Pelodiscus sinensis: one gene and its partners. The protein of the gene in region 2 purifies or fractionates together with the protein of the main gene of each other region. This does not show direct contact. Links are inferred from orthologs where the notes say so. Each region holds a gene or a part of one and is shown on either strand. Other genes may lie near its edges. The genes, in order: HDAC6, G3BP1, FXR1 and TRIM25.

Region 1 (7,908 bases), on a different chromosome or scaffold from region 2:
TCCGGCCCAGGAAACGCCTGGGGAGTGGGGACCCCCGCCCCCTCCCCCGCCCCCCTCCGGCCCAGGAAACACCTGAGAAGTGGGGAGCCCCCACCCCCTAGACCTGCTGCCCCTCCCATGAGACCCCCCCCACCTGCCTGCGGTCTCGCCGGCCCCCCTTCCGCTCCAGCCCTGTTGGCCCCCAGGCCCCTCTGCTCCTGCGAGGCCTCCCCAGCCCCTGGAGCGTGGGGGCAGGGCCTGGCTCCCCTCACCCCACCCACGCTCCCCTGTCCCCCCAGATCGTCAGCAAGCGCGCAGGCACCCAGTGCAGCAACTGCCAGACCACGACCACCACCCTGTGGCGCCGCAACGCCAGCGGGGAACCCGTCTGCAACGCCTGCGGCTTGTACTACAAGCTGCACAACGTGAGCCGGGGAGGGAGCGGGGGCTAGTGGGTAGAGCGGGGGGGGACCCCGGACGCCTGGGAGGGAGCGGGGGCTAGTGGTTAGAGCGGGGGGGCAGGGACCCCAGACGCCTGGGAGGGAGCGGGGGCTAGTGGGTACAGCGGGGGGGCAGGGACCCCAGACGCCTGGGAGGGAGTGGGGGCTAGTGGTTAGAGCGGGGGGGCAGGGACCCCAGACGCCTGGGAGGGAGCGGGGGCTAGTGGGTAGAGCGGGGGGGCAGGGACCCCAGACGCCTGGGAGGGAGCGGGGGCTAGTGGGTAGAGCGGGGGGGCAGGGACCCCAGACGCCTGGGAGGGAGTGGGGGCTAGTGGGTACAGCGGGGGGGGACCCCGGACGCCTGGGAGGGAGCGGGGGCTAGTGGGTACAGCGGGGGGGGACCCCGGACGCCTGGGAGGGAGCGGGGGCTAGTGGGTACAGCGGGGGGGGGACCCCGGACGCCTGGGAGGGAGCGGGGGCTAGTGGGTACAGCGGGGGGGGACCCCGGACGCCTGGGAGGGAGCGGGGGCTAGTGGGTACAGCGGGGGGGACCCCGGACGCCTGGGAGGGAGCGGGGGCTAGTGGTTAGAGCGGGGGGGCAGGGACCCCAGACGCCTGGGAGGGAGCGGGGGCTAGTGGGTACAGCGGGGGGGGACCCCGGATGCCTGGGAGGGAGCGGGGGCTAGTGGGTACAGCGGGGGGGGACCCCGGACGCCTGGGAGGGAGCGGGGGCTAGTGGGTACAGCGGGGGGGGACCCCGGACGCCTGGGAGGGAGTGGGGGCTAGTGGGTACAGCGGGGGGGACCCCGGATGCCTGGGAGGGAGTGGGGGCTAGTGGGTACAGCGGGGGGGACCCCGGACGCCTGGGAGGGAGCGGGGGCTAGTGGGTACAGCGGGGGGGGGACCCCGGACGCCTGGGAGGGAGCGGGGGCTAGTGGGTACAGCGGGGGGGGGGACCCCGGATGCCTGGGAGGGAGCGGGGGCTAGTGGGTACAGCGGGGGGCTGGCAGCCAGGACTCTGGGTTCTCTCCCACCTCGGGAAGGTGAGGGGGGCTAGTGGGTACAGCGGGGCGGGGACCCCGGACGCCTGGGAGGGAGCGGGGGCTAGTGGGTACAGCGGGGGGGACCCTGGACGCCTGGGAGGGAGCGGGGGCTAGTGGATAGAGCGGGGGGGCAGGGACCCCGGACGCCTGGGAGGGAGCGGGGGCTAGTGGATAGAGCAGGGGCTGGCAGCCAGGACTCTGGGTTCTCTCCCGGCTCGGGGAGGGGAGCAGGGTCTAGTGGTTAGAGCGGGGGGGCGGGGACCCCGGACGCCTGGGAGGGAGCGGGGGCTAGTGGATAGAGCGGGGGCTGGCAGCCAGGACTCTGGGTTCTCTCCCGGCTCGGGGAGGGGAGCAGGGTCTAGTGGTTAGAGCGGGGGGGCGGGGACCCCGGACGCCTGGGAGGGAGCGGGGGCTAGTGGATAGAGCGGGGGCTGGCAGCCAGGACTCTGGGTTCTCTCCCGGCTCGGGGAGGGGAGCAGGGTCTAGTGGTTAGAGCGGGGGGGCGGGGACCCCGGACGCCTGGGAGGGAGCGGGGGCTAGTGGATAGAGCAGGGGCTGGCAGCCAGGACTCTGGGTTCTCTCCCACCTCGGGAAGGTGAGGGGGGCTAGTGGGTACAGCGGGGGGGACCCCGGATGCCTGGGAGGGAGCGGGGGCTAGTGGATAGAGCGGGGGGGCAGGGACCCCGGACGCCTGGGAGGGAGCGGGGGCTAGTGGATAGAGCAGGGGCTGGCAGCCAGGACTCTGGGTTCTCTCCCGGCTCGGGGAGGGGAGCAGGGTCTAGTGGATAGAGCGGGGGGGCAGGGACCCCGGACGCCTGGGAGGGAGCGGGGGCTAGTGGATAGAGCGGGGGGGCAGGGACCCCGGACGCCTGGGAGGGAGCGGGGGCTAGTGGATAGAGCGGGGGGGGCAGGGACCCCGAACGCCTGGGAGGGAGCGGGGGCTAGTGGATAGAGCGGGGGGGCAGGGACCCCGGATGCCTGGGAGGGAGCGGGGGCTAGTGGATAGAGCGGGGGGGCAGGGACCCCGGACGCCTGGGAGGGAGCGGGGGCTAGTGCATAGAGCGGGGGCTGGCAGCCAGGACTCTGGGTTCTCTCCCGGCTCGGGGAGGGGAGCAGGGTCTAGTGGTTAGAGCGGGGGGCTGGGAGGCCGGACGGCCGGGTTCTAGCGCTGCCCCTCCCCCCAGGTCAATCGCCCCCTGACGATGCGGAAGGACGGCATCCAGACCCGCAACCGCAAAGTCTCCTCCAAGAGCAAGAAACGCCGCGGGGCCGCTCCGGGCGAGGGGGGGGCTGGGCCCCCCGCCCCACTCGAACTGCTCTCCCCCCTGGGCGAGGACCCCGCCACCCTCTACTCCCTGAGCCCCATGGTCCTGTCCAGCCACCTGCTCCCCTTCTCCCCCTCCCCCCCACCTCCTCGGGACCCCCCCGCCCGCCTACCACCCCCCACATGGCTCCCCCGGGCCGGGCCCCTCGCTGGGCTGAAGGAAGCAGCGCTGGAAAGCGGGGCCACGGGAGGGGGGGCAGCCACGGAGTCAGGCAGTGGGAGGGAGGGGGCAGAGCGTTGGGGCCTCGGGGTTCCCTCCCGTCTGTCCACCCCCATTCAGCTCCCACCTCTCCCTCCCTCCACCTGGCAGCTTTGGTGGGCGCGGCCTCTGTTTCCTCCCCCCCCCCCCCGCCAAGGAAACCCCCAACTTCCCCTCGAGAGGGCACCGCCCCCCCGGCTCCCTCGTCTCCACTGTCAGCCCCACAGCCAGCACTGACTGCAGTAGGTCTCCCGTTCTGCTCTCCCCCCGGCACCCCGATATTTTGGGGGTTACCATGGATTTTATGAAACCACAATTTACATATAGTATATATTTCTTTTACTGGCTCGGCTGTCGCGTCTTTTAATGCCTGGGGGAGCTATGGGGGGCTCACATGGGGGGCAGGCTTGTGCGCCTAGAACTCTGCTGGTTTGGAGCACCATGGCAGCTGCCAGGGGGCTGGAGTGGTGTTCAGTTCTTGGGGTACATGCTCTAGTGGGGGGTGCCCTGGCTTATTCTGAATGCACCCCAAAATGAAGCGGGTGCTCTAGAGCCGTGAGCACACACTCTGAAAAGGGGGAGCCTTCACTCTTCAAAGTGGGGGACATCTCGGGTTGTGGAGACCAGACATTAGGGCCCCCCCAATTCTGTAGCTAGAACAGGAAGGACAGATTCAGGGGGAACTGTGGAGGGGCCGAGGGGAACTGGGGGGCTTATGACCCAGAGGGAGCTATGGAAACCTCAGAAACATTGGGGTGCTCTGTGCAGTTTTGGGGGGTTTCTGTATGTTGGAGATTTGGGGTAAATCTAGGTGGTTGCTCTTTCTGTGGCGGGGAAGCAAAAATTGGGGTGTCCTAGCTCCCCAGAACTGAGATGGGGGGTGCAAGGGAAAAGTGGGGCATGGCTTGGGGGAGTGGAGGGAGATGGGAGGGATCCATTTTTATGGGACGTTTAATTCCCTCCCCCTTAAAGTATCCCCAAAGAAACCAGGATGATGGTGGGGAGTGGGATGTAGTGCAAGGGGGGCAGGGAGCCAGGGCTCCTGGGTTCTCTCCCCGGCTCTGGGAGGGCTGGGAGCCCGCCAGGAGTCCCATCCATGTATCGGCCCATCTCTGGCTCTGCTCCCTGCTTCCCACGCCCCCCTGCGCAGCGATCAAAAGGGGAAGGGGGCGTTATCTGCCCCATCAGCTCATGGCCTGGTGGGGGTTAGCCCTTGCCTCCGCCGAGGAGCTGGGAACTGGATTTCAAAGGGATGTGGGGAAGGGGCGGGGCGGGCACTGGAGATGGGCCCAGTACTGGGAGCTACACAGGCTCGGCGCAGAGCTGGGGGCCCCTCCAGCCGGGACACACGCTGGTGCGGGGGTCGGGCTCGCTATCCCAGCCCCATGGCTACTTCAGGGCAGGCCCAGCGCCCACTGCTGGTGCCAAGCCCTCCCTGCCTCACCCCTCCCCCACTACGTTCTATGCGGCTGTTCCCCAGCTGCCCTGCCCCAGAGGTGGCTGCATCTCAGCACCTAGGGAGCCCTCCCTGCGGCTCCCTTCACTAGGGGAAGGCCGAGGGGGCCCAGCTCCCCTGGGGGGGGCAAGGGGCCAAGGCCCAAGGAGCCGAGAGGTTGGGGGGGGGAATCCAAGGAAAAATAGAGGCCGGGGTGAAGGGTCACGGGAACAAGCTGGGGAGGGGTCAAGAGAATTAAGGGTCACAGGGTCAAGGGAGTAAATCCCCCCCCCCCCGACCTAGGCCAGTGAAGAAACAGGGAGATTTTTCTTCCAGCAAGTCAATGGTCTCTCCCAGCTCCCCTCCCCCCCGCTCAGTGCCAATGGCCACTCCCAGGATCCCCACCCCCTCCATTCATCGTGATTGGTTTCGCCCAGATCTCCCCCAAGGTCAGGGTGAATGGTCATGACCAGCCCCCTCCTCCGTCAATGGTCTCTGCCATCTTCCCCCCCCCCGCCCTACTCCGAATGGAATCTCCCGGCGGGGCGGGGCGGGGCGGGACGGGGCTGGGTGACACCATCAGGCTGCGCGCGGCAGGGAGAGACCATCTGCAGGGGCGCGGCAGGTGAGAGCAGCCCGCTCGCGCACGTGGCTGGGCACCCGGGGCGGGCAGCTGGTGCCGCGGGCACGGGCCGGGGGGGGGGGCAGCGCTCTGGGACCTGCTCCCCCAAGCCCCGCCCACAGCCTGCTGCTCCGGCCCCGCCCGCTGCCCCCCCTGCCCCGCCCCCCAGCACCCTCGGCCCCGCCCCCCAGCACTGCCCCCCAGCACCCCCCACCCTGCCCCCATGCCCCGCCCCCCAGCACCCCCCACCCTGCCCCCTCGGCCCCGCCCCCCAGCACCGCCCACCCTGCCCCCATGCCCCGCCCCCCAGCACCTCCACCCTGCCCCCTCGGCCCCGCCCCCCAGCGCCCTTCACCCCCAGCACTGCCCCCCAGCGCCCCCACCCTGCCCCCTCGGCCCCGCCCCCCAGCGCCCTTCACCCCCAGCACTGCCCCCCAGCGCCCCCCACCCTGCCCCCATGCCCCGGCCCCCAGCGCCCTTCACCCCCCAGCACTGCCCCCCAGCACCCTCCGCCCCCCAGCACTGCCCCCCACCCTGCCCCCTCACCCCGCCCCCCAGTGCCCTTCACCCTCCAGCACTGCCCACCCCCCAGCACTGCCCCCCAGTGCCCCCCACCCTGCCCCCATGCCCCACCCCCCAGCACCTCCACCCTGCCCCCTCAGCCCCGCCCCCAGCGCCCTTCACCCCCCAGCACTGTCCCCCCAGCGCCCCCCACCCTGCCCCCTTTGCCCCGCCCCCCAGCGCCCTTCACCCCCCAGCACTGCCCCCCAGCACCCTCCACCCCCCAGCACTGCCCCCCAGCGCCCCCCACCCTGCCCCCTCACCCCGCCCCCCAGTGCCCTTCACCCTCCAGCACTGCCCACCCCCCCAGCACTGCCCCCCAGTGCCCCCCACCCTGCCCCCATGCCCCACCCCCCAGCACCTCCACCCTGCCCCCTCAGCCCCGCCCCCCGCGCCCTTCACCCCCCAGCACTGTCCCCCCAGCGCCCCCCACCCTGCCCCCTTTGCCCCGCCCCCCAGCGCCCTTCACCCCCCAGCACTGCCCCCAGCGCCCCCCTACCCTGCTGCCCTCAGCCCCGCCCCTTCCCCCATCTGTACACCCCCAGCTCTGTGCCCCTCACCCCCTGCCACCCCTTCGCCTCCCAGCCCTGCACCCCGTGCCCCCCCTAAAATTGCCTTCCCCAGTGCCCCTTGCTCCTGCCCCGCAGCCCCCGCCGGCCCAGGGTGGAGGCCGGGGGGGTCGGGGTTTGGCCCCTCTAACGGCCTTTGCCCCCAGCCCTGCCCCGCCATGGCGACACCCTGGGCGGAGAAGCTTTGGCAGAGGAAGGACCCAGCTCCCCCCTCCCGATCCTGAAGGGACCTGCCCCCCCAGCACACGGCCATGGTGAGTCTGGCCCTGGGGGGGGGCCCTTGGCTCTGGGCGCGAGGCTGCCTGGGCCTGCCAAGGGCTGGGGGGGGCTGGCGAGGTCCAAGCCCCCCCTTCTGCCCCGTGTGCTTCCCCCCCAGAAGCGAGGTGGCCGGAGGGGCCCCCAGCCACGCCGGAGCCCCGGGCTGCCCGAAACCAAGCGCCGCGGCCGAGCGCAGCGGGCGAGCAGAGAGACGGAGGAGCTGGAGTCGGGGCTGCGGCGCCTGGTAGGTGGGGGGGGGGGCCGTGGGGCTGGGCTTTCCGCTGGCGGCGCCTGCTCCCTGGCCGTGGGGGGAAGGGGAGCGGGTCTGGGGGGGCCGGCGCCTGGCTCCACTGTCGTGTCCCCCCCAGGACCTGGGCGTGGAGGGGACGGTGCCCGTGGGGACGGGCCTGGCCTTTGACGAGCGGCTCACAGAGTCTCACTGCCTGTGGGATGACAGGTACGGGGGGGGGGGGGGGGGAGCCACGACCCCCACCCCAGCGACCCCTCCCGCCAGTCACCACGGCCCCCGAGCCGCCTCCCCCCCAGCGACCGGCCCCCTAGCTTATCTGGGATCTGGGCCCGGGCCCCTCCCGTCCAGCGCCGGGATCCTCGCTCTGGGGGGCACATCGCCTGCCCCCCCGGCCCTGCCGGCGCCCCTCACTCCCTCCCTCCCTCCCCAGCCCCAGCCCCAGCGCCCCTCACTCCCTCCCTCCCTCCCTCCCCAGCCCCAGCGCCCCTCACTCCTGCCGCAGCCCCTGCCCCCTGGCGCCCCCTCCCTCCCTCCCTCCCCAGCCCCTGCCCCCCCCCCCAGCCCCTGCCCCCCGGCACCCACCCCTCACTCCCGCCCCCCAGCCCCTGCCCCCCGGCGCCCACCCCTCACTCCCGCCCCCCAGCCCCTGCCCCCCGGCGCCCCTCCCTCCCTCCCCAGCCCCTGCCCCCCGGCGCCCCTCCCTCCCTCCCCAGCCCCCCAGCCCCGGCCACTTTCTCCCGCTCTGTCGTTTCGCCCCCAGCTTCCCGGAGCGCCCGGAGCGGCTGGTGGCCGTGCAGGAGAAGCTGCTGCAGAGCGGCCTGTGGGAACGCTGCGTCCCAGTCGAGGTGAGAGGAGGGGCTGGGACCCCTGGGTCTGTCCCTTGCCCGGAGGTGTCCCAAGACCAGCTGCCCCTCCCCCCGCTCTGCTGCAGCCCCCCACTTCCCTCCTCTGTCCTCACAGGCCCGGCCGGCTACAGAGGAAGAGATTCTGCTGGTCCACAGGTACGGACGGCAGCCGGGGGGGCGGGCCAGCTGGGGCTGCGGGGCAGCAGGGGGGCAACGGCAGGGCTGGAGGGTACCAGCGAGGCAGGGGCGAGGGGCTCGCTCTCTCTCTGTGTCTCAGCCCAGGGTACGTGGAGCTGGTGAAGTCGACGGAGCAGATGAGTGAGGAGGAGCTGAGGGGCCTGTCGGGGACGTTCGACTCCGTCTTCCTGCACCCGGTGAGCTCC
Region 2 (7,556 bases):
ACTTTCTTCCACTATTTGATCTGAGGAAGTGGGTCTGGCCCACGAAAGCTCATCATCTAATAAACCATCTTGTTAGTCTTTAAAGTGCTACATTGTCCTGCATTTTGCTTCATACTAGATTTAGCAATTGTTCTTAAGGCATATTAATGTTAAAACACACTGAGAAAGGAACACAGATGCATGAATCTCTCACAATAGTATTACTGTTTCACACAACTCTTTACCTATCCAACTACTTAAACTTCCAGTTTAATGTGACATTCTACCCAGTTACACCTGAACAAGCAGCTGCAATTTAGACATTTTGTTGCAAGTCATGACTGGATTTAACTTCAAGTCAGCAGAGAAAGGTATAGTATCTTTCAAAAGACTTGAGGAGAGTGCCCATTCTACCACTATCAATAACACTGCTGAATACATCCGAGAATCTAAGTTAATTAGAAAAAATGCAATTTACTCTCAATTTTCCCTAAGATCGTATTTGAGAACTTGGCATGTTTTCTTAACCCCTTTTAAGTGAAGTGACTGATCTAGTGAATAGAAGATGCTGTTTTCAGAAGAACCTAAACCTCAGTAGCAAGAAACACTGTTGGCAAGAACTACATAATGGCTGAAGATCCATCACAAGTTATTTTATTTATACTAACTGGAAGTTAATGTTCAGGAGTTGGTAGCCTTTCTACATTTCCTAATGCTGTCATTTGTTTCAAAGGGTAGGCCTGACAAAAATAGCTGACTGGAAACATGGCTGTTTGCTGCCAACACTTTTCAGATCTAAATAGGAAGGTGCCACTTAACATGGAATACATTATATTCACAATGCTTAATGTAAGTGTCTCACCAATGGATAACCACCACAAAGCAATAATTCCAAATACAACCTTATACACTAACTCTATGCAAGACATTCAGATTCAGTAACAATGATACAGGTAGGGCTTTCCCAAGCAAGTAGGCCTGGGGCCTTCCTTCCAAGTTACTGGGAGCTCTTCTTACACTATCTTATTTGCAGTTCTAGGTTTAAAATCCCAGCTCCACCATTGTCTTGCTGTGTGACCTTGGATAAATCATTTAATACCACAGAGAGGACAATATTACCCCACTTGTAAAGCAGGGGTGAAACTTACCCTCCTTTGTACAATGCAGAGATTTACAGAGGACTACAAATGTCTCAAGGGGTGGGTATTTTTCTATGCCACATTAATCCATGAACAAGCTCTGCAGCGTAGCTACTACGTGTAGGCATTTTAGGTTTTTGTTTGATAGAACACACCAGCTATGTAAAGCACAGAACAAAGGTTGCCACTTTGTATCTAGCCTAACACAACCAAGTTTTCTTCCCTCCTGTTTGTGTCCCTCCTCTAACTCTTCCCCCCCCCCTTAAAATATTTGCTTTCAGAAGGATCCCTATTGTCCACAGCCCCAGCAACGTTTACTCTTTTCCACAGCGTCACTCCTTTCTGTGCGGCCAGAGGAATGTTCTTCTCACACCGATGGTGCCAAACACACTGGGGCTTTCAGAGCACAGGAACCGCTCCATGAAACGGCTTGTTTTTGTAGCCCAGACGGCTCGATGTTTCTCAACCCCCAGCACCACCCGAGAGAGCAGGCAGCCCCCCCCCCCCCCTTACTTCGGCCTGCATGCACGATGATCCTTGCAGGGAGGCTGCGGGAGGCCTGGGCTACCCCCCCCCCCATTCCAACCCTGTCCGCAGTTAATTACACCCCCAGGCCGCCACCCCCACCCCCATTCGCACCCTGTCCCCAGTGAATTACACCCCCAGACCACCACCCCCCATTCCAACCCTGTCCGCATTGAATTACACCCCCAGGCCGCCACCCCCACCCCCATTCGCACCCTGTCCCCAGTGAATTACACCCCCAGGCCGCCACCCCCCATTCCAACCCTGCCCGCAGTGAATTACACCCCCAGGCCGCCACCCCCCCCCCCATTCCAACCCTGCCCCCAGTGAATTACACCCCCAGGCCGCCACCCCCCATTCCAACCCTGCCCGCAGTGAATTACACCCCCAGGCCGCTACCCCCCCCATTCCAACCCTGCCCCCAGTGAATTACACCCCCAGGCCGCTACCCCCCCCCCATTCCAACCCTGCCCCCAGTGAATTACACCCCCAGGCCGCCACCCCCCATTCCAACCCTGCCCCCAGTGAATTACACCCCCAGGCCGCCACCCCCCATTCCAACCCTGCCCGCAGTGAATTACACCCCCAGGCCGCCACCCCACCCCATTCCAACCCTGCCCGCAGTGAATTACACCCCCAGGCCGCCACCCCCCCCATTCCAACCCTGCCCCCAGTGAATTACACCCCCAGGCCGCTACCCCCCCCATTCCAACCCTGCCCCCAGTGAATTACACCCCCAGGCCGCCACCCCCCCCATTCGCACCCTGCCCCCAGTGAATTACACCCCCAGGCCGCCACCCCCCCCATTCGCACCCTGTCCCCAGTGAATTACACCCCCAGATACCCCCGTCCCGAGTGCATTATTGCCCCATGTGCCCCCCCACTCTCACCCTGTGCCCATGAATTACAGCCCCGCTCCCAGCCCCCCCCGCAGTGAACCACACCCCCAGCCCCCCCCGGCCCGCCCCCACCATTCCCACACGCTGAATTACCGCCCCGGGCCACCCCCAGCCCTGCACGCAGCGCGGTGCCGGAGACCCCCCCCCCCACGAGGGGCGCCCCCCCCGCGCCCTGCCCCCAAGCGGGCCCGGCCGGGGGGGGGGTCCCAGCTTCCTTCCCCTCCCCCCGGCCCGCCGAGCGGCGCCGAGCCCGCGCGTGCCCGTGACGCCGGGGCAGGAGCCCCCCCCGCGGGGCGCGAGGAGGGGGCGCGGCAGGGCCCCCCCGTTACCTGCGGACGGAGCGGGACTGGAGCAGGAGGCTTCGCGACAGGCCGGCCGGGCAATGGCAAAACCTCACGCAACGGCGTGCTCACCCGCCGGCTGCATATATCCGGCGCGCAGCCTAACCCCGCCGCACCGCGCCAGCCAATCACCGAGCGCCGCACTTCGCAGCTCGGACGCCGTTTGGCCAGGGCCGCCAAAGCAGGGCGGTGCTTCGTGAGTGGCATCGAACGCACCCTATCGGCACTGCCGTGAGGCAGGACGCCGTTAGGTGAGCGACGTAAGAACCAGCCAACAGGCGTTGAAATGGCAGCCCCTAGGGCGGGATAAAGCTCGACTGACTCCCCCGGTGACCAATAAGGCGACGCAACTTTCGCTATGAGGTGAAAGTTGGACGAGGCGGAGGTAAGGTGCCCGCGTAGGGTGGTTACGCCGTAGAGCGGCGCCCTGGAGATCAGGCTAGGTAAACCCCGTTTTAGACAGGGCCGGCACTCGTTTCGGGTCTGGGCGCCGCAGCCAATTAGGAAGCCCGGCTGGCCCTGACTGACAGGCCGCACGCGACAGGCTCTTAAAGGGAAAGGCGGCACCGAGGCAGAGTCAGCCCGCCCCCGGCCGGCAGCCGGGCCCCGCCCCACGGGGGGAAGGGCCGCCCGCGCCTCCCCCCACCTGCTGCACCAGGCCACGTGCTGCTCCCCCCAGCTGCTCTGGCCCCGCCCCCTGGGTCACCGTGACCCCCCCCCCGCCTGCCTACCACCGCACGGCTCCAGAACCCCCCTCCCCGCCTCCCTACCGCCGCACGGCTCCAGAACCCCCTCCCCCCCGCCTCCCTACCACCGCACGGCTCCAGAACCCCCTCCCCCCCGCCTCCCTACCACCGCACGGCTCCAGAACCCCCTCCCCCCCGCCTCCCTACCGCCGCACGGCTCCAGAACCCCCCCCGCCTCCCTACCACCGCACGGCTCCAGAACCCCCTCCCCCCCGCCTCCCTACCGCCGCACGGCTCCAGAACCCCCCCCGCCTCCCTACCACCGCACGGCTCCAGAACCCCCTCCCCCCCGCCTCCCTACCACCGCACGGCTCCAGAACCCCCCCCGCCTCCCTACCACCGCACGGCTCCAGAACCCCCTCCCCCCCGCCTCCCTACCACCGCACGGCTCCAGAACCCCCCCCGCCTCCCTACCACCGCACGGCTCCAGAACCCCCCCCGCCTCCCTACCACCGCACGGCTCCAGAACCCCCTCCCCCCCGCCTCCCTACCACCGTACGGCTCCAGAACCCCCCCCGCCTCCCTACCACCGCACGGCTCCAGAACCCCCTCCCCCGCCTCCCTACCACCGCACGGCTCCAGAACCCCCCCCCCGCCTCCCTACCACCGCACGGCTCCAGAACCCCCTCCCCCCCGCCTCCCTACCACCGCACGGCTCCAGAACCCCCTCCCCCCGCCTCCCTACCACCGCACGGCTCCAGAACCCCCTCCCCCCGCCTCCCTACCACCGCACGGCTCCAGAACCCCCCCCCGCCTCCCTACCACCGCACGGCTCCAGAACCCCCCCCCCGCCTCCCTACCACCGCACGGCTCCAGAACCCCCTCCCCCGCCTCCCTACCACCGCACGGCTCCAGAACCCCCCCCGCCTCCCTACCACCGCACGGCTCCAGAACCCCCTCCCCCGCCTCCCTACCACCGCACGGCTCCAGAACCCCCCCCCCCGCCTCCCTACCACAGCACGGCTCCAGAACCCCCCCCTCCCCCGCCTCCCTACCACCGCACGGCTCCAGAACCCCCCCCCCCGCCTCCCTACCACCGCACGGCTCCAGAACCCCCCCGCCTCCCTACCACACACGGCTCCAGAACCCCCCCCCCGCCTCCCTACCACCGCACGGCTCCAGAACCCCCCCCCGTCTGCCTACCACCGCACGGCTCCAGAACCCCCCCCGCCTCCCTACCACCGCACGGCTCCAGAACCCCCCCCCCCGCCTCCCTACCACCGCACGGCTCCAGAACCCCCCCCGCTTCCCTACCACCGCACGGCTCCAGAACCCCCCCCCGCCTCCCTACCACCGCACAGCCCCGCCATCGCCAACCCCCCCACCAGGCTCCCTACCACCGTACAGCCCCGCCATCGCCAACCCCCCCACCAGGCTCCCTACCACCGTACAGCTCCAGAATGCCCCCCTCCCGGCCTCCCTACCACCATATGGCTGCCAACCCCGAACCCACCACTGCCGACCCTCCCCCCCGCCTCCCTACCACCATCCGGCCGCCTCCCCCAAACCCGCCACCACTGACCCCCCCGGCCTCCCTACCACTGTACGGCCGCCACTGCCAAACCCACCGCCGCCGACCCCTTTTCCCCAGCCTGCCTACCACCGTACGGCCACCACCGTACAGCCCCACCACAGACAGCCTCCTCACCACCATATGGCCCCGCCTCCACCAAACCTGCCACCATCCCCTAAACCCACCACAGCTGGTCCTAGCCTCCATACGGCCCTGCTACAGCCAGCTTCCCTCAGCCTCTGTACCACTGTACATCCCCACCATCCACTGAATCCACCACAGCCAGCCTCCCCCAGCCTCTGTAACACTGTACGGCCCCGCCACCTGCTGACCACACAGTTGGCCTCCCTCAGTCTCCGCACCACTGTACAGCTCCACCACCCTCCAAAGCTGCTACAGCCGGCCTCCCTGGGGCCCAGCCTCAATACCACCGTATGGCCCAGTCACCCACTGAACCTGCCACAGCTGGTCTCCCTAGGGCCTACCCTCTCCCAGCCTCCCTACCACTGTATGACCCTGACACCTGCCAAACCCACCACAGCCAGCCTTACCCAGCCTCCATACCACTGTTTGGCCCTTCCACCCACCAGACCATTCATAGCTGGCCTCTATACCACTGTATGGCCCCATCACCCACTGAACCCGCCAGAGCTAGCCTACCCGGGGCCCAGTCACCTGCCAAACCCAGCCTCCACAAGGCCCAGCCTCACCCCGCCTCCATATTACTGTACTGCCCCGTCACCCACTGAACCTGCCACAGCCAGTCTCTGTGGGGCCCAGCCTGACTCAGCACGACCCAATCACCCGCTGAATCCACGGTGTCCAGCCTTGGGACCTCTGCACAGCCGGCCTTCCATCAGTCACGTGCTGATCCCACCACTTGCAGCCTCCAGTTCTCTGCACAGCCTGCCTTCCACAGAGCCAAGGCCTCACCCAGCCTCTCTACCACAGTACGGCCTGGTCAGCTACTTCTGGCCCAGGGTGTCCATCTTCAATGCTGGGTCAAGGCCTCACCCAGCCTCCAAACCACAAGCTGGCTGGTCACCCATTCTGACACAGCCCATCCAGGCCATGGCTTTCCCAACCTTCAAAACCCAGCCCAGTCCAGCCACCCCTTCCTCCCTGGCACATCCGGACTCTGTAGCGCCATATGGCCCAGACAGGTATTGTCACCTGTCTTCACCTGGGCATTTGTGCGGCTCAGATCATCCTGGTCACTCTGTGCTTTCTCCCACCATCCCAGTCTTCCTGGAAGATTCCTCCACATTGTGCAAAGCACTAAACTGTCTCCATTCCCATTATTTCCTTGGGACTGCCACACTGGGTGGTGCAATATCAAAGTTCAGTAGCACCAAGAATGAACCTTCGGGGCGGACACTGCATCCTCTAAAAGGTTCTCTTTCCACCCAGGGCTCCCTGCGCATACAGCCCTACCAGCTTGATCGTCACAGATCCCGTAACCTCCTGGGAAAATGCTCAACCTTCTCTTAAGAGGTTTCAGCATAGGAATATGATCAAATCCATTCCCACTGGACACAAAACTCCATCCTGAGGCTTCCCAGCCAACATCCCAAGTAACAAGTCCACTTGGAAATCAGATCACCCACTACACTCAGACTGGTGAGCCCGCAGGAGCATCTAGATGAGAAAACAAATAACACAGTTCACCTGTCTGTGCAGCAGCAATTTCTTTTTCCTCTTTTGCAATTTCTTACTGAAACAGAGAAATCAAGCCAACTGAAACTTGCTCTGAAAGCTTTGATAAGGCAGAGGTTCAGGTTTTTGCATTGCCTCATCAGTGCTCTACCCTAAAAATACCACTCTCCAAGTGGAAAGAGATGCCCCGTTACTGATCCATCCCATAAAATCCATGTCACATTGCATGTCGTCACCTGAAAGGATAAAAGAGCCCCAGAAGGCACAGCAACTTTCGTACCACAGCCTTGCTTCCACAAAGTAAAAGCAGTCAGGGCTTGAAGTCAGTTTCCTAAGGCACATGTTTGGTTTTGCTGTGGAGGTGGTGGACACTTGCTTGGACCAAACTGTCTGCCAAAGGGCCAAAATTTCCCTTCACCTACATCCTGTGCAGCGCTAAATCAGTGATGTTGCTTGGGAGGGGGAGCAAGGGTAACACCTGACCCTATAGCCAGGACTTAATGCCTCTTGTTCCCCTAGCAGGCAGCCACTGTATGAATCTCCTTCCCTAGTTTCTTGCAGGGAGATTTACAGTCACTAGGCTGGCATTATGCCATCCTCAGCATTAATATTCCCCCCCCGCTTTTTTTTTTTTTTTTTTTTACTATTTATATCCTGAGCCACATTGCAAGCTGCCAGCTCATAGATCAGTAGCAAGGCCTTTGCAGAGTTTAGTACAAGCCAAGGGGCAGCCGTGTAAAATAACCCTGCCCCACAGC
Region 3 (7,293 bases), on a different chromosome or scaffold from region 2:
AAAAGAGGTAACAAACTGGAGATCCAAACATCTCCATGAAGTCTCCCTACTTTTTAATAGAGTATGTGTGTGTGTGTGTGTGGGAGGGGGAGATTGTGAAATGAAGTAGGGAGAGAACAGGGCAGATTCTGGTGAATCTATGACTCCACTGATCAACTACCACCCATTTGCTCAAATAAAGAGGGAGCACAATGGCTATCCTACCTTCTAGTCCATTGGGCACTGCATGAGGTTGCAAGATTTGGCCCACAGTGAATAAGAGAACAGGAACTTATACTCCTGAGTGTGCATATACCAGGAAATAAAAGTTGTTGTATTAAGGTTTACAGCTGAACTTCTGGATGCTAATCCAAACCAAGTCTTTAAATATTTTGAAATTAGACTGTTACTATTTTTAAATTACTTTCTTTTCCCAACTATATCTCTCTTACTATTTTCAGATGCCTCTTACTTTTCTTAGTTTTAGCTGGAACCAGATGCATTAGAATACCTTCATGGTTCTTGCAACCTAGGCAAAACAACAATTTACTAAAAAGCTAATGAGAATTTTTTTCCTCAAGATTTTCATCCTATTTTCTAGAGCAAGTTGGTTTCTGATAAACGTTCAAATTTTAACATATTTATCTAGACTTTACCAGTTATTAGTAAAATTTTACATAAATCTCACACTGCAGTTACTTAGGCCCTGATTAAGCAAAGCACTTAATGAAGTTAATGGGAATTAGGCACCTAGGAAATTTTGAAAATCTCTCTATGCGTCTAAATATATTTAAAACACTGGCTCTTAAGTACTATTGTTGAATTAAATTATTTTATATACAGTACATTAAAAACTTTAGCCCGTGATGGGCACTATTCGTGCTAATTATTGCAAACTGCCTGCCTGTTTTCACAGAATAGAAAAGAAGGTTCATGAATGGGCTAAATTTCTGTTCTCTTTTATGCCCATGCAAGTCTGGAGTAGCTAAATTGACTTCAGGAGTCACTTGTGATTCGGGTTGCCAACCGTCCAGGATTGGCCTGGATTCTCCTGGAACTAGCATCAATCTGAAAGCAATCCTGGAGATATGAATAGGTCATTTTAAGAAAATGACATTATTTCATGTTGGGAAAAATAAATCTCCCAGAATAGCTTCAGTCAGAGTTGGCAACCTTATTCCTGATTTACAGTAATCTAAATGAAAGCGGAATTTGATGCAGTCATTTTCCTCAGTCTGATTGGTTCCAAGTGGCTGTCCAACCTCCTGAAAACAGCTGCCCTGTGCCCCATTTCCACCCAGCTGCAGCAACCTACTGCAGTATTAATCTGAAAACAAGCTTGTCCTATTAAATACCATCAAGTGTATATTTTCAGCAAAACAATTTTAATCAGTCAAATTCACATGCAGATTACATTGGCTCAGGCCAATTCTTGTTATCTTTTTTGACCAGAACTGTGCATACTATTCCAAATATGGTCATACTGGTGCTTCTTAAGGTTTTAAAGTAACTTCATTTGATACTTATTACACACCTGTCTTACTACACAATGGAAATTTGTTTGCCATTTTTACTGTGTGGAGGATGATGTCTAATATTTAAGGTTTCATTTTACCCAATAATTCAATTTTTTCTAAATATTTAATTCTGAAAGAATGAATAACTTCAGAAATATTAATAGACTTCCCAAAGAACGATTTCAAGCAATTTTTTGTCATTGGCTCTTCGATTGTGTAACTGTTTGCTCATAATTTTCCTTTTGGGCCTCCCATAGCTTGATTCTCCAAAATGCTGTGTGCCCGCAAGAAAAAGTAATTGAGGTCATTCAGCACTGCGCATAACTAAACGCTTATTTTCTCTCTTTATGACACAAAACCATTTAACAATGTCAAGATTTGTCCTATAAAGATTTATCCAATATTTATACATGTAAAAGGACTAAGGAAGATGCAAATCAGGTGGTCACTGTTTCCCTGGTACTACCAGGTACCCAAACAAAATATTGAAATATCTGAGTGGAAAACAAAAAACTTTTCTAACCCAATAAAAAAAATATGCTCACATCATAGTTAAAACATTTTAAGGATAACAAGAAAACATTCTACAAATACATTACAAGCAAAAGGAAGACCAAGGACAGCGCACACCTGTTACTCAGTGGAGAGGAGGTACTCCACTTAGGAAGGAACAATCAGTTGTACACATACAACATAGGAAATGACTGCCTAGAAAGAAGTACATGGCCTATAAGGGAAGATTGAAAAAAGTGGGTTTATTTAGTCTCGAGAAGAGAATGACCACAGTTTTCAGGTATATAAAAGTTTACGAGGAGAAAGGGATCTGTGGATCAGAGTGGACCACGAGCTAAATATGAATCAACAATCTGACACAGTTGCAAAAATACAACATCTCCCCAAAAAACAAACTAACAACTCCTCCACCTTCATTCTGGGATGTATGAGTGATGTGAGCAAGACATAAGCCACTTTACTCTGTGCTGATTAGGCCTCAACTGGAGTATTGTATTCAGCTCTGGGAGCCACCTTTCAGAAACCTAGAAAAACTGGAGAAAGTCCAGAGAAGAGCAACAAAAATAATTAACCATCTAGAAAACATGATCTATGAGAAAAGAGTGAAAAAATTGGGTTTATTTAGTCTCAAGGAAAGAAGACTGAGAGGGGATATGATCATAGTTTTTAAGTACATAAAGATTTACAAGGAAGAGGGAGAATAATTGTTCTCTTTAACCTCTTAGAATTGGAAAAGAGGCAATGGGCTTAAATTTCAGCAAAAGCTATTTATATTAGTCATTAGGAAAACCTTCCTGTCAGGGTAGTTAAACACTGTAATAATCTGTCTATGGGAGTTATGTATATTACAATTAGTTTCCTAACATATGAATGAAAGAACATGATTAATATTAATGAGCATTTAACCATAGGAGGCTATGAAAAAGTAATTTTATATGTTTAAGTAGGAGTTGAACTTCTTGTTTGAAATTAATAGGCAGTTTCTCAAATCCTAAACTTTAATCTCTCAGGATACGTTTACACATTAAAAAAAAAAAGATCAGAACTTTCCCATTCATTTGGCATTTTATAGTTGCAATGAGTTAGTTTTATTTTAGAGGTTGAGAGATGTACTCATTTAGGCCCTGATTCATACTTTGTAGTGTAGTATCCCATCATTACCCAGATTAAGAGTTTTTTGAGAGAGCCACCTCTTCAGCCCCTTATGAGCCTATTTGGGAAAAAGTCTGCTACAATTTGGAGAGGCAAGGGCCCCATTTGTATGTGTGGGAAAGTCCTGAACTCCTGTCTCTGTATATATTATGAGCCTTTATTCCAGGAGTGAAGCACTTCTGTGTTTAGAGATCCTCCCTTTCCAAGACATTCTTCTTTATGCCACTGTCCACAATGTGTTAGGTGCTTTCCAAACAGAGGACACAGCCCCTACCAGACACATATATAACCCCGAAGGACAAAGACTGGCAAAGGGTGGAGGAGGAAAGGAATATAACATGCAACATGAACAAAATGACAGGCACAAAGCTTACCAAACTACATGTGTGATTTAAACTAGGGTTGCCATATCTGAACTTTCAAAAAACAGGACACACTTGAGAGGGAGTGTATCAGTATCTAACGTCACTTAGTATATAATACACAAACACAACACGACTTGGTAGATAATAATACAGATACACTCCCTCTCAGGAGTCTCCTCTTTTTGGAAAGTTCAAATATGGTAACCCTATTTAAACACACTGGATTCCACTCCCCGCATCTCCCTTCCATCATTTAGCATCCCGCTCCTTCCCTTATAGCAACCTGCGACTCTGCTTCTAGTGCCATGCCCCCTCCTTCACAACATGCAACTCTCAGGCAGGGCTGAAACAAGCAGTTTGCTCCAGGAGAAATCAGTGAGTAAAACCATGCCACGTCGTGGGAGTGTGTGGAAGGGGTGGTGGTGGTGGTGGTGGTGTTGAATAAGGGAAGGAGTAGCCTGCATTCCTGTGCCTACGGAAGGCCACGTCCGGGTGTGGAGGGGACAGGAAACAAGTCCCTTAGGTCTGATCGTAAAGAGCCCCCTCCCCGAGGCCAGGGGTGGTCACAGCCCCAGCCCTGCAGGACTTAGCCCCACCCTGGGCAGCTACGAACAGGTGGCGGGAGCGAGGCGCCCGTGGGATCAGCCAGCTCCCGCCCCGGCTGTGGCAATGGGGAGGGAATGCCTTTGCGGTCCCGCGTGTGCGGAGGAGTCAGAGACCCGTCCCCCGGGGGCTGGCCACCCCGCTGCCGCGCCTGGAGCCCTCAGGAAGAACGGGCTGGCCTGGGGTAGTCAGTCAGGCCTGGCGCGGCGGGGCTCGGGGAGGGAGCGAGCCCCCTGCTGGCCAGCGCCCCGCTGCGTGAGGGTGAGCGGGGGTCTGAGGAGGCGGCCTTGTGCCGCGGGGGAGCGGAGCCAGTCGTTCCTCCCCGCGCGTGAGGGGCTCGCGCTCGCCCAGCGCGGGGAAGGCCGCAGGAGACCCCGGCGAGGGGAGGGCGCTCGGGGTAGGGGGCAGACCCTCGGCCCGGCGCGCGAGGGGATTAGCCGCCGCGGGGAGCCGAGCGGGAACACCCCGCCCCCTCCCGCGCGGGGGGAGCCGGAGCCGCCCGGCTGCAGGTGAGGACTCCGAGAGGGAGCCCGGAGCGCGCCCCCCCCACCGTGGTGACAGTTTCTAGAAGCCCGTCCCGGCGTCCTTTGCGGTCTCAACATGGAGGAGCTGACGGTGGAAGTGCGCGGCTCCAACGGGGCCTTCTACAAGGTATCGGCCGCGGCGGGGGCGGGTCACGGTTTCCGTGTCCCCACCCCGGTCCCCCTCTCCCCCTCCAAACGAACCGTTAGGGCCGGGGCGCGGAGAGGGGGAGCGGGCCCGTGGGGCAGGGGTGCTCGGCGGAAGGGCAAGGCTGGAGAGCGAGTGCCCGGGTCAGGGAGGGTTGTGAGGGGTTGGGGTGCTGGGGGGGAGCTGCCAGGGGAAGGATGTTTGGGGGCTGGGGTGGGAGAAGACCTCTATGTGTGGAAGCGTTTGAGGAGGAGTTTGGGGGCGTGTAGATGCGGTGCGGGGCTAGTGCCTGGTAGAGTGGAAGGGAGAGCCTGGTTTCATTGGCTCTGAGGTAGGTTATCAGCTGAGCGAACAGAGGAAGGTTTCTTCTCTTTTGGGGGGGGTGTGTGTGGAATTGGATTATCTGAAGGGCTGAGGCTTTTAGTGGGAGCATTGGGGTGGTTTAAACTTCTGAAAATAAAAAGCCCAGATAATACGTGTAGGGAGTTGGAGTTTATTTATGTCATCAGAAAGCTTCCTTCACCACCACCCTCCCTGGTATGCCAGGATATTACAGGATCAATACAAAATACTCTCAGCTGTTGCCTGTCAGTCTTTTTCCCTAAGCCAGGCCTGAGATGTTTGAGAATCCCAACTCTTTTTATAGAGAGAGGCCTTGTGTGTTCCTTTACAGGAGGGCTGATTGCAGTTGTCATTGTGAACACTCACTGTATGCTCAGCTTCCTGGTCACTTAATTTCACGACTTCCCTTAATCACTTTAATCTAATCATGGATTTGTAGTCCACCGCTATGCAAGACAGTGATTTATTTGTCCTTTTCATGAGTTTCCTGGTGGGTGGGTCTATGGATGTAGGCTATATAGCATTTGGTAATTGGATAGTATGTAAAAACAAGTTTGTGTGTTAAGAACCATAACCAGCTGATTTCCTAAGTTTCTGTCTTTTTAAATAGATAGCTGGTTGATAAATTAGTAGGTATTTTAATGGAAAGAATTTATGGAGAATTGTAATCCTACTCTTAATAAATAGTGTTGAAATTTTTGTTTGGGTTAACAGTAATTTTAGGCTTAGACAATTCAGTATATGTTAGAAGTTGTGTAAAGATTTTTAAAGTAATCAGAATACACGTTAAAATGTCTCATCATAAGATGAGAAAAGTGAGAATTCTTGGGACTGGATCTGTACCATTGGCTCCGAGGTAGGTTTAGCACTATCAAAGATGGTTAATGAAAGTAATGGTCCCTAGAGTTGTGGCAGGGTTCTCTTTAAGCTGTGCGCCTATTTGGCTGAGCACAAACAATTTTAGGCCCACCAACCTCATTTGCAGAGCTAGGCAGCGGCACTCTCTACTCACTTTCTTGCTGAACCTGCAGCCTGGAAGGTGAGTGGTGGTGGTGGCCTGGTGGATTCTGGCAACCTGCCTCACGTATCCTGGTTCTAGCTATGGTGGAATGCCATGTGGCCTGGCTGGCTGGGCTGCGTGGTGGGCAGCTGCCCCTGTTTGCTCTGGCTGGAGCTGAGACATCCTCACCATGGCCCTAGTGGCCCATACTTCTGGGAGGCGGGAAGGGGGTCATGGAAATGGAGAGTATTGAAGATAAGCGTATGTCATCTCAGTAAAATACTTAAATGGTTTTGGGCACTTATGTATATTTTTACCATCTACTATCATACACACACATTAAAGCTGGTAAGAGTCTCATGAATGCTTTCCATAGATTCAACTCTCTGGCTTTCTTAGTATGTAGACTTTTGCTGTTATCTAGGGTTGCCAGGTGTACAGTTTTGATCTGGACAGTCCGGTATTTGAGCTTTCTGTCTGGGAAACACATAAATGTCCAGTATTTTCTAATTAAGTTTTTATTGTTATCATGAGTATCAGTACGTAGTTGTGTACTATTTGGCTGGTAGACACACTAACGCTGCGTGAGCGTGTCTACCAGCCAGGCAGTATGCAACTACACAGAGAGGAGAGGTGTGGGGGTGGGATGGACTTCCCAGGGCCGGATTCACCTGTGCACTCCTCTGGGACCATGCACAGGATGGGCAGCACCCCGGGATCTGGTGCACCCAGGCTGGCTGGTTTTCTACCTCCCCACCCCCCGCTCCCGGCCAGCCCCGCTCACCTGGACCCACTCCCAGCCAGCCCTGCTTCTTGCCAGCTGGCTCCCTTCCCTCTTCCCGCCCTCGGATCTCCTCTAGCCAGCCCCGCTCCCCCTGACCCTCTCTAGGCCAGCCCTGCTTCCCGCCGGCCAGTTCTCCTCCCCCCCCCCCCCCGCCAGCCTCGCTCCCCCTAACCCCCTGCCGGCCAGTCCTGCTCCCCTCCTGGCCGGTCCCTCTTCCCTCCCCTCCCAATCTGAGATCAAGTGTGTCCGGTATTTTTTTTAAACCATCTTTCTCTGTCACCATCTCCAATTCCCTTCTCCATGGTAGGTTTGGTTCTTTTTAATTTTTGGTTCTTTGATTTGATATTTTTTGCAGCTTTGGCTTCTGCA
Region 4 (7,317 bases), on a different chromosome or scaffold from region 2:
CACACCTGACTGGAACGGACGTGAACACCGCATCTCGAAGAACAGTCAGGAAAGGTGAGTCGCTGTGTTCCCCCCCCCCCCACAACCACTTCTCTTACTTAGTCACTCCTTGGCCTTTTCCCCAGACAATCCAACACAAGTCCTAACTCATGCTGGGTCCGGGAGTGCTGTTATAAGAAGGGCAACCTATGAATGAGATTGAGGCCACCCCAATCATTACTAGGGATGTGAATGGTTAACTGGTAAGCCTCACCCTTAATGAATCAGTGTTGGTTAATTGGTAGGGGCTGGAGCAGTTTGGGCAGGGAGCTGCTCCAACCACACGGGGCCCACCATAAAGAGGCACTGCTTGCTTCCTCCCGCTCCTCAAAAGCCCTTAATACAGCTCGCAAAGATCCAGCAGCTAAAATACGTTAACATAGCTCCCTACAAGCTTGGGATTAGACTGTCCCTCTTAGGCATCCTTAGCACTGAAGAATAACGGAGGCCTCCTATGCCAAGTTCGAAAGCAGTGCCACTTCCCCCATAACAGCTAAAGCCTGAATAATCCAAGCCTCATTTGCTACTAGGTTGATTCACACATATACAAAGCTCCCACTGTGCCCATGTGCTCCAGAGCCTGGCTTGTATCCTGATGGTCACAAGCTGTTCTCTTAGAAAAGGAACAGGAAGAGAGAGAGATTTTACAGGCATCTTACACATTACAAAGATAGCTTCCCCAATTATCACCTCTAATACTATTAACTCACAGACATTTCCCCTTCCCCACCTCTAATATCATTAACTCACTGGCATTCACCTTCCTTCCCCCCCCCCCCCCCCACATCCCCCTTCTGTTCTGCAATGTGATTTGTCCTTTTCATGTGTGTTCATTTTTTTTTAAATTGTATCCTTTGGTATATATGGTTGTGACTGTTTTCTTCCATTATTTGATCTGAGGAAGTGGGTCTGGCCCACGAAAGCTCATCATCTAATAAACCATCTTGTTAGTCTTTAAAGTGCTACATTGTCCTGCATTTTACAGGCAGTGCAACTTAAAAGCCAGACCTCTGAAGTTTTGTTAGACACTAAGGCTACGTCTAAACTACACCCCTCTGTCGGCAGAAGGATATAAATTAGACACATCGAAAGTGCAAATGAAGCGGGGATTTAAAAATCCCATGCTTCATGTGCATAATCGCATCCTGGCGCAGTTTTGAACAAGCGCCATTTCGAAACTGAAACCACGGTTTAGACATGGTGTTTTGGAAAAACTGCGTTTAAACCACGGTTTCCGTTTCGAAATGGCGCTTGTTCAAAACTGCGCCAGGACACGATTATGCAAATGAAGTGCGGGATATTTAAATCCCCACTTCATTTGTGCTTTCGAAACGTGTAATTTACATCCCTCTGCTGACAGAGGGGTGTAGTTTAGACACACCTTAAGTCTGTGTATGGTCCTGATGGTACTTTTAGGGCCTGCAATCCCTATCACCACAATCTGCTGTTCCTAAGGCCTGTCCAGGATCTTGAGAAGGATGAATGGTGCATCTTCTAAGACAGGGATTCTCAACCTTCTTTTTGACCCCTCCCCAACAAGCTATACAAATTCCACAGCCCACCTGCACCACCACAACTATTTTTCAATACATAAAAGCCAGGGCTGGCAATAGAGGATAACAAGCAGGACAAGTACAACACAGGGGGCACCCCGAAAGCTGAATAGCTCAGACTTCAACTTCAGCACCCAGTTGGTAGATCTTGGGGTCCCAGGCTTCTGCTCCACACAATGGGGCTTTAAACTTGCTGGGGTGCAGAGCAGAAAGTCTGATGCCTGCCCTGATTGGTGGCCCCCTGGAATCCTGCTCAGAGCATGCTCCCCCCCACCCTAGACCCCTGGCTGAAAAATGCTGATCTAAGACAGTGCTCTCAAGTGCCAGACCATGGACTGGGGCCAGTCCCTGAGCTCTCTGATTATCAAATAGGTTGAGAAAGAGGGCAGATGTTCCGTAGGTGGGAGCAGTCAGAGAACAGCAGCGCAAACACAGCCCAGGGGCAGAGTTCCCTGTAAGCTGGGTCACTCAGGAGAGATCCCAACACCTCCCAGCTGATCAGCAGAGCGCTCACTAGCGAGACTGCGTGTTTCTACTGGTGGTGCATGCACATGCCTGGGTGCGCATCAAAATTATTCCGCACGGGGATGGGAGAGATTAGAGGGAACATTGCTAGGAGTCCCATGCAAGAGGTTCCAGAGAAGGGTCCCGGCCAGTGCTGATCAGCACCTCTGTCCAGGCATCCCCCTCCTCTCCCATCCCTCCTCACCTCCTTCTCCGCCTTGGCCTCCTGCACGGGGCTGGTGGCACAGGTCTTGTGGCTGACCAGGCACACGCAGCAGATGCAGGTGGCGTGCTCGGGGCAGTAGAACTCCAGCAGCTTGTTGTGCTGCTGGCACTTGCGCTGCTGCAGGTCGCGCAGGGGCAGGCGCAGCTCGTGGTCCCGGAAAGCCGGGCTCTCCTGGTGGGGCCGCAGGTGCTCGTGGCAGAAGGAGGCCATGCAGGTGAGGCAGGTCTTGGCCGCCGCGGCCTCCAGGCAGGTGTCGCAGGGCACCTCGGAGCCGCTCCCCTCCCGGCATTTCTTCTCCTCGGCCGGCTCGCCGGGCTGCGAGCTCTGGAACTGCTCCACCACCCGGCACAGCACCGTGTTCTTCTGCAGCTCGGGCCGGCGCTGGAAGCTGGCCCGGCACTGCGGGCAGCTGAAGCCCTGCTGGATGCCGCTCCAGGTGACATCTAGGCAGGGCCCGCAGAAGTTGTGGCCGCAGGGCGTGGTGACCGGGCAGTCGAAGAGGCACAGGCAGATGGAGCAGGTCAGCTCCTCTTCCAGCCCGGCCAGGCAGGGCAAGGACGGCGCCCGCAGTAGCTCCGCCATGGCTCCTGCCACGACCTGGGCAGCTGGGGATGGAAAGTGAAACTCAAAGCAGAGGCGGAGCAGCTGGAAGTTCCTGGAAATCACGTGGAAGGGGGAAAGTTCAGCGCGGGGGGGCCTCCCTAGCAAACCCCTCCCTGCTAGGCGCTCAGGCTGCAAACTTTCTCCCATTTCTGCTTATTTACGCTCCCCCTTCCGCAGCCTGGATTTTCTGGTGCGCAGTTCTGCAATGTATTGACTTTCCTCTTTACATAGAATCACAGGGTTGGAAGAATAGTGATAGAGATGTAGCCGTGTTAGTCTGGGGTAGCGGAAGCAAAATGCAGGACAATGTAGCACTTTAAAGACTAACAAGATGGTTTATTAAATGATGAGCTTTTGTGGGCCAGACCCACTTCCTCAGATCAAATAGTGGAAGAAAATTGTCACAACCATATATACCAAAGGATACAATTAAAAAAAATGAACAAATATGAAAAGGACAAATCACATTGCAGAACAGGAGGGGAATACAGGGGGGGAGAAGGAAGGAAGGTAAAGTGTCTGTGAATTGATGATATTAGAGGTAGGGAGAGTGGGATGTTTGTGAGTTAATGGTATTAGAGGTGATAATTGGGGAAACTATCTTGGTAATGAGATAGTTCAAATGTTTGTTGGAAGAGACCTCAGATGGTCATGGAGTCCAATCAGCTGCTAAAAGCAGGACCAATCCCACCTAAACCATCCCAGAAGCTTCAGGGGGTAGCCCAGTTAGTACAGGATAAACTTAAAAAACAACAAATGGTCTGTAGGATTTTATAGACGAACAAAACATAAGATGGTATCATGAGCTTTCCTGGGCACAGCCCACTTCTTCAAATGACTGGAACTCCGGTCATCTGAAGAAGTGGGCTTTGCCCACAGAAACTCATGATACCATCTATACGTTTTGTTAGTCTATAAAATGCTACCAGACCATTTGTTAAATCATCCCAGCCAGGGCTTTGTCAAACTTGGATTTTAAAACCTCTAGGGATGGAGATTCCACTCTCTTCAATTCAACCCACCTCCTTTTAGGATGGCCAGGATGAAGAACAGCACAGCTCTGGAGTTAAAAGATTTGCAAAAGCCCATACAAAGTGGCAATATGTTTTTCTTTCCCCACTCCTTCATGCATCCCGCCGGGCCATAGATGCAGAAAAGCTGAGTGAGGAGTTTAAGAAGAAAGCAAATTACATGAGTGAAAGATATAAAAAAGCAACAGGAATTTACAATATAAAAATATTGCAACATGATTTTTTTGACATTTTATTGTGAAGTGCAGGTGATATGTTCCAGATGGGTAGTTGTGTTAGGCAGTAACTTTAAAAACAAGTAGTCCTCTGGCACTTTAGAGATTAACAAATATACATAGAATCATGAATTTTCATGGGTAAAAACACCTCATCAGATGAGTTGGCGTGGAAATAAAATAATCCAATATATATAACAGCAAAAGCAGTTACCTGTCAATTGTAGAACCTGTGTTAATGAAGCAAATTAAATAAGCTGGATTTGTCCCATTCGTAGCTTTTGTAGGGAAAATGTGTATGTCAAAAGCAGGGGAAATTGGCTTTGTAGTGCATTAACCAATATTTAATATATTTATTCAAGCCCAGGTTGACCTTGTGAAATTTGTAAATTAATGCCAGTTCAGCAGTCTCCCTCTGTAATTGTATAGTAAAATTCATTTGTAGAAGAATGGCTATTTTAAAATCCATGACTGGTTATATGTTGTGATTTTTTAAATCTAATGTATAGAATCCAAGAATACTAGAACTAGAAGGGACCTTGAGTGATCAAGTCCTGTCCCCTGCCCTCATGGCAGGACCAAGCACAGTCTATAATATCCATGATAGATGTCTGTCTAACCGGCTCTTAAATATATCCAGTGGTGGGGATTCCACAACCTCCTTAGGCAATTTATTCCAGTGTTTAGGAACTTCCTGTCAGGGTGGTTAATGTCCAACCTAAACCTTCCTTGTTGCAGTTTAAAGCCCATTGCTTCTTGTCCTATCATCAGAGGCCAAGGAGAACAATTTCCCCCCCTCCTCTCTGTGATACCCTTTTAGATATCTGAAAACAGCTATCATATCCCCTTAGTCTTCTCTTTTCGAAACTAAAGAAGCCCAATTCCTTCAGCCTTGCCTCACAGCTCATGTTTTCTAGACCTTTAATCATTTTTGTTGCTCTTCTCTGGACCTTCTCCAATTTCTCCACATCTTCCTTGAAATGTGGTGCCCAGAATTGGACACAATGCTCCAATTGAGGCCTAATCAGTGCAGAGTAGAAAGAAAAAATGACTTCACGTGTCTTGCTCACAAAATTCCTGTTAACGCATCCCAGAATCATGTTTGCTTTTATTGCAAGTGTCACACTGTTGACTCATATTTAGCTTGTGATCCACTATTACCCCTAGATGAGTGTTTCTCAACCAGTGGTACAGTACCCTTAGAGGTACTTGAGAGAAGTCTGGGGGGTACATCAACACGACTGAAATTTGGAGAAAACTAAATTATTGTTTTAAGTTTTACAGCGCTTTATTATTTTTGTAATTTTTACACCCAAAAATTTCATCGCCCGCCCAGCTACAATTAAGTTTTTTAAACAAATGTGTTGCAATGGTAGAAAAAATATGGTGTGTCTGAAAACTGTAGGTACTGGGGGTACTTATATTGTTTAAAGGCGTAATTTATAAAAAAAAAGGTTGAGAAACACTGCCCTAGATCTTTCAGCAGTACTCCTTCCTAGACAGTGGCTTTCCATTCTGTATGTGCGAACTGATTGTTCCTTCCTAAGTGGAGCACTTTGCATTTGTCTTTATTAAACGTCATCCTATTTACCTCAGACCATTTCTCCAGTTTGTCCAGATCATTTGATCCTCCAAGACAGTTGCAACCCCTCCCAGCTTGGTATCATCTGAAAACTTAATAACCGTACTCTCTATGCCACCATCTAAATTTCAGTCTTTATTCTTTCATTATGCTAACCTTTCCATAGGAGGAAAAAAATAAGTTTGATTAGTATAAATAGGCAATAATGAAGTTCACTTTAGCTTTTTTCTGATTGCAGTTGGATGCTGTCCTTTTTCTACACCTGTATAATAAAATAAAAATAGTAACAAAATAGTATTAATACTTTGCTTTGCACTTCTATTCAACTGTCTCCACACATTTTATAAATATTTCTTAAGACCTCAGAATACTGTTCTGAGTACACAATGGTCACCTTTGCAATGGGAAAAAACAGCTGCAACAGAGCAAAGGAATACTGCACAACAATTTAGGATTAGAATCACACAGTATTATAAACCCCAAAGCTTTCAAAAATCATAAGTCAGTTCATAGAAATCATGAGATTGACTTAGATCATAGGATTTTTAAAAATAACACATTTGATTACAGGAATTCCCTGGGTTACATACAAGATAGGGACTGTAGGTTTGTTCTTAAGTTGAATTTGTATGTAAGTCGGAACTGGCACATATTGTAGGGGAAACTCTAGCCAAACATTTCTCCAGAGCTCAGTTTTATTCTCCCACACCTCACTTCCCTCAGTCCTTTATTCTCAAGCTGAGGTGTCTGCTGAGAAAAGCCTCTCCACGTCTCCCTGGTCTGCTGGGGGGAAGCAGCTAGTGCAGGGTTGCCTCACCCCGTTTGTAAGTAGGGATCCGATGTAAGTCGGATCCATGTAACCCAGGAACTGCCTGTATTTTTATTGACTATTTGCATCTTTAGAGGGTCACATTTTCAAAAGTTTATTAATAATTACGAAGACTAAAAACCTGTTCTAAAATAAAAAAGCTGAGATTCTGGTGTGTTCAGAAAATGCCAGATATCATGAGACTTGTCATAAAATGTCAAGGGTTGCCAATACTGAAAGTATATAATCAAAAGTGTGCAAAGAGTTCAGATGGGCAGTGTTATTACCAAAGTTAGAATTTGGAAAAGAGTAATACTACTTACACTTGCAAAAGGTGACATGGAATCTTTAATAACCATACATTGTCTAGATCCCGTATTATAAATCGTTAGAAATCCCTCCCGCACCCCCCACACTATCCTCTAACACAGTGGTGGGCACCCTGGAGCCCACAGACTGCATATGATCCACTGAGGATCTACCTGTGGAGCACAGACCACCGATTTGTCCCCCTCACCCACATGCCGCTTGCACACTGAGGCACCAGAGAACCATACTTCCTACTCTTCCCCTCCCTCCCAGCACTTTTGGAGTGCACGAATCACCTGATTTGCACTCTTCCCCCCTTCCTTCCCCTCCCTCCCAGAGCTGGAATGCCATGAATCAGCTGTTTGTAACTGTTCAAGCTCTGAGAGGGGGAGGAGCATGGATGGAGTGTGAGCCAGGTGATTTGCACCCTCCAAAAATGCTGGGAAG

Evidence for each region.
Region 1: the proteins of G3BP1 (region 2) and HDAC6 purify together in Homo sapiens (affinity purification with western blotting; 4 studies listed by BioGRID, with this or other methods). This does not show direct contact. The link is inferred for Pelodiscus sinensis from reciprocal best matches to the Homo sapiens genes G3BP1 and HDAC6.
Region 3: the proteins of G3BP1 (region 2) and FXR1 purify together in Homo sapiens (affinity purification with mass spectrometry; 3 studies listed by BioGRID and IntAct, with this or other methods). This does not show direct contact. The link is inferred for Pelodiscus sinensis from reciprocal best matches to the Homo sapiens genes G3BP1 and FXR1.
Region 4: the proteins of G3BP1 (region 2) and TRIM25 purify together in Homo sapiens (affinity purification with mass spectrometry; 4 studies listed by BioGRID and IntAct, with this or other methods). This does not show direct contact. The link is inferred for Pelodiscus sinensis from reciprocal best matches to the Homo sapiens genes G3BP1 and TRIM25.

The regions. Positions count from the first base shown.
Region 1 is NW_027466031.1:232,682-240,589, reverse strand, and holds the start of HDAC6 (protein deacetylase HDAC6), read left to right. Parts: upstream 1-4,891; 5' UTR 4,892-5,045; intron 5,046-6,318; 5' UTR 6,319-6,423; coding exon 6,424-6,426; intron 6,427-6,548; coding exon 6,549-6,674; intron 6,675-6,798; coding exon 6,799-6,887; intron 6,888-7,440; coding exon 7,441-7,525; intron 7,526-7,640; coding exon 7,641-7,681; intron 7,682-7,802; coding exon 7,803-7,899; intron 7,900-7,908.
Region 2 is NC_134727.1:36,251,844-36,259,399, reverse strand, and holds the start of G3BP1 (ras GTPase-activating protein-binding protein 1), read right to left. Parts: upstream 3,017-7,556; 5' UTR 2,872-3,016; intron 1-2,871. UniProt on the Homo sapiens protein: Protein involved in various processes, such as stress granule formation and innate immunity. Plays an essential role in stress granule formation.
Region 3 is NC_134720.1:45,544,007-45,551,299, forward strand, and holds the start of FXR1 (RNA-binding protein FXR1), read left to right. Parts: upstream 1-4,288; 5' UTR 4,289-4,729; coding exon 4,730-4,780; intron 4,781-7,293. UniProt on the Homo sapiens protein: mRNA-binding protein that acts as a regulator of mRNAs translation and/or stability, and which is required for various processes, such as neurogenesis, muscle development and spermatogenesis.
Region 4 is NC_134730.1:18,911,890-18,919,206, forward strand, and holds the start of TRIM25 (E3 ubiquitin/ISG15 ligase TRIM25), read right to left. Parts: upstream 3,009-7,317; 5' UTR 2,905-3,008; coding exon 2,302-2,904; intron 1-2,301.